Daphnia pulex: one gene and its partner. The protein of the gene in region 1 purifies or fractionates together with the protein of each later gene. This does not show direct contact. Links are inferred from orthologs where the notes say so. Each region holds a gene or a part of one and is shown in the gene's direction. Other genes may lie near its edges. The genes, in order: kinesin heavy chain-like and fasciculation and elongation protein zeta-2-like.

Region 1 (4,554 bases):
TTCGTAGTATCCAATTTGTTTATATTTATGACCAATGGCCGCGATTATAACTTAAAAAACAAATTTATTTCGTAATTCAACGTAATATAAAAGGTATCGTATCGAGATATCAATATATGTATCGCGTGTTGCAATTGCAAATCCCTTCTATCAATATATAGGGAAGGTTCGAAGGGGCGGGCGGAGTGCACCGTTTACTTCTTAGTGAAATAAAATACCGGACTGTAGTTGTGTAACCTGCAAATTGTCTGGAATTCTCTCAGAGTTATCGTCCCATATCGGACGATGTACGATGAAGAATTCACATGTAGCCATCATACTAGTAACTTTATTTTTCCTGGATGGTTGGTGGACCGGAATACTTAGATGGATTATCTTCAAAATGATGTCTACTGGAATTATTGGTGCTACTTTCAGTACTCTTGTAGATTTTTGCGCTTATCACCCAAAGATCTGGGAATCCTCAATCAATCTTTTGTCACAGCCTTCCAGTTCTGAATTGAAGTTTGATTGCCCACCTGGTTAAGTATACAATATTCTGACCCCCTTGCAGTTTACTAATAAATCAATAATTAAATGTATACCTACATTCTTGCAGGATTTATAGCAGCGCCAAACCAAAGTCATTTCCCGACTAGTAATGGCTGTGGAGCTGATGGACTCAAAGTAACGATACAAATAAAATCAGCCCAGAATTTTCTTTTATCTATTTTCCGCTATTTTTTTCTTTATATAATGTAGATAGACGTTGAATGTTTGCCATATAAAGACCAAGAGCTATGCTGCAACACTCACGATATGTGTTACGATAAATGCCACATCATTTCGTCAATGGAAGCTGACGTGCACCGAGGCCAATGCGATAAAGAATTTAAAAACTGTTTGATAAAAATTTGTTCATTTAAAAGCTGGCAGCGGTACTTGATTTGCCCATTTCGCATCGTACTTACTAATAAATTCTGGAATGAGAACTGCGAGCAGCCTTTAATCGATGATCGGGAGAAAAGTGAGTTATTACTTTACCAAATATTTATTTCGTCTCCTAACAGTATAAAATATTTTTTCTTAGAGTGCGAAGCATCTGTTGAAGTTCTTTATCAATCCGTCCATGGTTGGGGATTTAGTGCTTACTTAAAGGCTCAATCACAAGCTTGCGTCTGCGTCCCCGGTTGAAAACACAAACACAAATGATTTCGTAATTTTAATGATGTCTTTCATAATTTATTTTCATGATTTCGTATTTTGCATATTTACTGCCTAGAATACAGACAACAAATTGAAAAATAACGCGTTATGCTGCCTACTTATTATTATAGTCAGCCCCTAATATGTCTAAAATACTTCCTTGTTTTTTCATCATAGAATATAATTACGACTTCTATTATTAAACCGGTTTAATTTGAAATTGATTGGTTGAAGAAGAATCTAGTGAAAATGATGCAATGTTTTTAAGAGCACATACAGCGCATATCACACGACTCGATCAATAAGAAACCAATATATGCAGCAGTGGGTTAGTCTAAACCCTATCGCACCATAGCTGAGCGAGCTGCATGGGATGTGCGATACAGAACAGAAGAAGGTAGTAGCCCTTACGGTGTGTGTCATTTAGTTTTCCTCTTGTATTTCCTCTTTCTCTGGTGCACGACCATAGCTGCAATTTGGTTACGAGTCGTTAACGCATCCACATCTTACGGATGGCAGCTTAATTGCCGGAAGTCCGCTCGGCTTGAAAATATCAAGTGCATCGGCCTCCAGCTGCTTGCTCACACCCGTTTGGTCGTTGTGTTTTACTTTTTAGGTGTTCGAGCTTTCGATCAAATACGTGCAGTGCTCGCTCTTCCAACCAACAAACAAATTGAAATATCTCGTCAATTTGTTTTACGCAAATACTGTCAGAAACAGAACAAACATTTCTTATCTAAGTAACAGACTAACAGATTCGATTGATTTGTTTGTTGGCCATTGGTCCTCATACTCGCCTTGTGTGTTGGCTAGAAGAGGGTTCACGTGCCCCTCCCTCTCTCTTTCTTCCTTAAGGGCAAATTGGCATTGAGTCGGAACTGACGTGAAAAAAAAAGTGTTCCTACTAAAACTTTCAAGTATTTTAAGTTATTGAGAGCTGTGTAATCATGTCAGCCGAAAGAGAAGCGCCGGGAGAAGATAGTATTCGTGTAGTGTGTCGTTTTCGACCTTTAAACGATGCCGAAGAGAGAGCTGGATCGAAATTCGTCGTCAAGTTTCCACCCGGCACTGACGACCAATGTATAAATTTAGGGGTAAGAATCCTGCAACACCGATAATGTAATTTAATTAAATCAAATAACCACGAGTTCTACTTTTAATGTAGGGAAAAGTTTACATGTTTGATAAAGTATTCAAACCCAATGCCAGTCAAGAGAAAGTGTACAATGAAGCAGCAAAGAGTATTGTAAAAGGTATTTCTATTTCTTCTATTAACACTCATTTGAGAAATATCCTTGATCTAAAACACACCTTTTTTCCTGATTAGATGTCCTAATGGGCTATAATGGAACTATATTTGCATACGGGCAAACATCCTCGGGTAAAACCCACACAATGGAAGGAGTCATGGGAGATCCACATCTACAGGGTATCATCCCACGAATTGTCAACGATATCTTCAATCACATCTATGCTATGGAAGAAAACTTGGAGTTCCACATTAAAGTCTCTTATTTTGAAATCTACATGGACAAAATTAGGGATCTTCTTGATGGTAAAACTACTAAAGAAATTATTGTGTTGTTAGCAGAATAATACCAAACTGTTTTTATTGCAGTATCTAAAGTCAATTTGAGTGTGCATGAAGATAAGAATCGCATCCCTTATGTAAAGGGTGTAACAGAAAGATTTGTTACAAGTCCTGAAGAGGTATTTGAAGTGATTGAAGAAGGAAAAGCTAATCGACACATCGCTGTAACAAGTAAGAATTATTTAGAGACGTAAATTGTGCATCAATTTTCATTGTTTATTTTCAATTACAGACATGAATGAGCACTCCTCTAGGAGCCACTCAGTTTTCCTAATTAACGTAAAACAAGAAAACTTAGAAAATCAAAAGAAACTATCGGGTAAACTTTACCTTGTCGATTTAGCTGGAAGTGAGAAAGTAAGTAAAACAAATCAACTTTTGGTGTCCTTCGTGAACTTATCGCGTATAATCTTAATTTTCCAGGTGAGCAAAACAGGTGCTGAGGGAACCGTCTTGGATGAGGCAAAAAATATTAACAAATCCTTGTCGGCATTGGGAAATGTTATATCTGCATTGGCCGATGGAAATAAATCTCACATACCTTACCGTGATTCAAAATTGACACGTATTCTTCAAGAATCATTGGGTGGTAATGCCAGAACGACAATTGTTACTTGTTGTTCTCCAGCGTCATTCAATGAATCGGAAACTAAGACTACTCTGGACTTTGGCCGAAGGTATTGATGAAACAATGTTTATGCTTCTCTCTAAATTATGCCATTTGTTTTGTATTTGTAGAGCAAAAACTATTAAAAACGCCGTCACAGTAAATGAAGAACTTACTGCCGAAGAATGGAAACGCCGCTTCGAAAAAGAACGCGAGAAGGCTCAACGCTATAAAACAAAATTGGAGATTGCCGAAGCAGAACTCACTCGTTGGAGATCTGGCGAATCTGTTGGGCAAGAAGAACAAGTATGAAAATTCATTTTGAGATTACTAGATCAACAATCCTGATCTTTGGTTTTATTTAGGTTAATCTTCGAGATGCTATGGACGTATCTACCATCAGTGTTGACCTGACTCCTGTGGCACCGGTTGCTCCCGTTTTGCCACCTGTTCTTGCTGCCCCTGCCGTTCGAGCTGATTGGGATTCTGAGCGTGAAAGACTGTACCAACAGTTGGATGATAAGGTTGGTTTGTTGTCCAAGTTTTTCAGTACACCGAACTAAATTTTTAAAAATCCCTATAGGATGAAGAAATAAATCAGCAAAGTCAGTTAGTGGAAAAGCTTAAGGAACAAATGATGGAACAGGAGGAACTTATTGGTGCTACCCGCAGAGATTATGAATCGCTACAACAAGAAATGAACCGCATCCAGGCTGAAAACGAATCAGCAAAAGAAGAAGTCAAAGAAGTTTTGCAAGTATGTCACTTTCATCCCCTCCACGTTCCCCAATACTAAACTTTTCTATCTGTCAAGGCTTTAGAAGAATTGGCAGTTAATTACGATCAGAAGTCTCAGGAAGTGGAAGCTAAGAACCGCGACAATGAAACAGTCACTGAAGAGTTATCTCAACGTCAAAGCCAGCTTAACAGCACTATGTCTGAACTAGCACAGGTGCGCCACATTTTCGTAATATTTGATTTTTATTTACGTCATGCTCATATTGCTTTTTAAAGGTGAAAGACACATCTGCCCATCAGCGTCGAAAACTCAACGACTTGTTAACTAGTTTATTCAAAGATTTGAATGAGATGGGCGTGGCATTTGGGGCTGATTTAAAGTCTTCGCTGCAACCATTTGATTCTAATAGTAGCAAGTCAGAGGAGGAGTTCA
Region 2 (2,619 bases), on another chromosome or scaffold:
ATCGCCGAGCTGGCCCTTCGAGACGAGCTCGAGTACGAGAAAGAGTTAAAAAACACTTTCATCTCTTTACTGTTGAACGTGCAGAACAAGCGCCGCCAAATGACGGCCAACCAGAAGAAGCCGGCCACCAATGCAACGACACCGACGGGCAAGAACGGCAATAAAATGGGCAGCGGGTTCACCAGCCAGCCCGACTGCAAGGTTAGCCCATCCCTCCTCGTTCTCTGACTCATTCTTGTATATTTTTCCTTTTACGAGCGTCGAGTTAAGAGGACTCTCTCTCTCTCTCCGTAAGAGTGTCCTCTTGATTTACGACAATACGGGATGGAGCAAAAGGAAAAAAAAAATGTCAAAAGGTCGTATCTTAATCTCGTTAATCATCCCGACTGACGGGAAATGGCTTTTTACGGGGCTTCTTTCATAGACATGGAGCCAATGGCATTTCATTTGAAAACAATTCGTCCTGCTGATCCTTTTATTGTTTTTTTTTTCTCTTTTGTCTGTTGTGTTTGTGTCGCGCGCAGTACATCACGACAGTCATTCCCTATCACCCTGGCAACGGACCTCCGAGCAATCCGACCGTCCAGGTCCTCATCAAAAGTAAGTCGTGACACTTACCCCCCAAAAAAACTTGTTATTATTTCTAAAGAGAAAATTCTTTTTTTCTTATCCACTTGGGATGACTTTTAATGCAGTTCTCCGAGCCATTGTTGAGGATAGCCCAACCGTACCGACATTACTGACGGATTATATTTTGAAAGGTAACATTTTACCAGGAATTTCATTTTTCCCCGGCCCAGATTCCTTTCCCATTTTTTAACATTAAATTACTTATTTGGAATTTCTAGTGTTGTGTCCGACGTAGTTGCTAGGTCGTGGCGCCGCGCTCGACGTGGTCGTTTCTCTCATTTCCAGTTCTTCGTCTTCTTCATTCGTCAAAATAATTGACATCCAAGAATCTTAACCGCAATCTCTTTTCAGCTGGCGGATGCTTTAACGTTCGTCCTACGCGCACCATCATTAAATAATATTTCAGAACAAACAAAAAAAGAATTCCTTTTGACAGAAGGATATCGGCTTTTGTGGCCTCGTTTGCGTTCGTTGAAAACAAAACAAAAAAAAGAAACAAGAACTTTTTTCTTTTCTTTTTTTGTGTTGGAATTTGTAGTCGAAACCGGAACAAATCTGAATCTCCTTCCTTTTGTACGAATAAGCCTTTTTCCCCCCATTTTTGTTATTCTTCATTTGCTCCCTTACGACTGTTCGAACTTTTTCGCCTAATGTGTTTATAGTTTTGACTCTACAGCCGCCGTTGTTTTTCTTTTTTTAACCTCGCTTAGGCTTCCTCAATTTATTTGGTGATTATTTATATACCTTGCTAGATCTTTTCTCTCTCTCTCTCTCCCACCCACCCTTGTCTGACAACACACAGAAAGTTGGAACCGAGTCAAAATCAAAGCCGGGGGACTCTCCCGCTTGAAAGAAGAAAAACACGAGATTGAATATCCGAGCAGAGTAAGAAGAAGAAGAAGCTCGTCTAGTCAAAACATTTGATCCTAGTTCCCCCGCCACCCAATTAATTGACGTCATCCTACCTTGTCGGCAGCGCGATCCTTTCAATTTATTTTTTTTTTCCCCGCGAGAAAACAAGAAACGACGAAGAAAAAGAAGAAGAATAAAAAGTGTAACTAGATCTCAACCAGTTCTTTCTCCTCCCCGCTGCGTGTGACAATGACTAATAAGAAAAGAAGAAAACAGGTTGAAAGACAATATAAATAACGAGACTGGCTGCTGCTTTTGACATCCCGGAGGTTGATGTGACACTTCTCTGTTCCGTTGTGGCTTTTTTGCGTTCAGTATTTTTTTTTTTTTTTTTTTTGTTCTTTTCTTCCTTCCTTGTATACAAAATTTTTTTCGTGACGTGTGTCGTGTGCCACTTATGGACGTTAAAAAAAAAGCGCAATACATTACAATGCTCCCATTCTCTGATTATTTTTTATCGATTGATTTTTCATGGTAATAAGTGTCGAATCTACATGAAAAATTGACTAATACTTTTGAAGGTTTCTCTGTGGGGGTTGCGAAAACAGACTAAACTCGAGATAAGTCGAGGTGAGTGTAGGTATCATATAATCAACTCAAAGATTATATCATAAAAAAACGGCCATAAACATGTCAAAACAGTGTGAGACACCATTTGCTACTACGTACAGAACGAATCCACAGGCGCACAGACAGCACACGATGATAATGAAGTCCCTGACTTTGCACGGGTGCTAAGGAAAGAGACGGGCAGGAATTTCGCTTGTTTTTTTGTTTTTTAAGGTCGGAAACGGTAGGGATGGATGGATGGATAAATGTGGGTAAGAGAGAGAGACGGGAGGAGTTGGATGAAGGAGGATTTCTACTCCGTGCGGATGGGAAACTTGACAGAACGGCCAGCACGAACAATGGCGTGCAACACGAGACGACACGAATTGAGGAGAACGAAAGGAAAAAAAAATTTCAACAAAAAACAAAAATGAGAGAGAAAAAAAAGCTATGTGACTCGAACACGTGGGTGAAACCATATCACCTCAATATTTCAGAAAATCGAAGAGGAGAGCAATGTCAGCAGGT

The links.
Region 2: the proteins of kinesin heavy chain-like (region 1) and fasciculation and elongation protein zeta-2-like purify together in Drosophila melanogaster (affinity purification with western blotting; 3 studies listed by BioGRID). This does not show direct contact. The link is inferred for Daphnia pulex from reciprocal best matches to the Drosophila melanogaster genes Khc and Unc-76.

What each region holds. Positions count from the first base shown.
Region 1 is NC_060020.1:7,296,150-7,300,703, forward strand, and holds the start of kinesin heavy chain-like, read left to right. Parts: upstream 1-1,521; 5' UTR 1,522-2,132; coding exon 2,133-2,279; intron 2,280-2,350; coding exon 2,351-2,438; intron 2,439-2,512; coding exon 2,513-2,740; intron 2,741-2,803; coding exon 2,804-2,947; intron 2,948-3,008; coding exon 3,009-3,133; intron 3,134-3,199; coding exon 3,200-3,453; intron 3,454-3,514; coding exon 3,515-3,689; intron 3,690-3,748; coding exon 3,749-3,907; intron 3,908-3,966; coding exon 3,967-4,140; intron 4,141-4,197; coding exon 4,198-4,335; intron 4,336-4,397; coding exon 4,398-4,554. Other genes in the region: group XIIA secretory phospholipase A2-like, read left to right, coding at 293-521, 599-666, 742-1,006, 1,070-1,173. UniProt on the Drosophila melanogaster protein: Kinesin is a microtubule-associated force-producing protein that may play a role in organelle transport. Milt and Miro form an essential protein complex that links Khc to mitochondria for light chain-independent, anterograde transport of mitochondria.
Region 2 is NC_060027.1:4,971,226-4,973,844, reverse strand, and holds the end of fasciculation and elongation protein zeta-2-like, read left to right. Parts: coding exon 1-201; intron 202-524; coding exon 525-600; intron 601-695; coding exon 696-761; intron 762-848; coding exon 849-865; 3' UTR 866-1,981; downstream 1,982-2,619. Other genes in the region: acyl-CoA:lysophosphatidylglycerol acyltransferase 1-like, read right to left, coding at 2,585-2,619.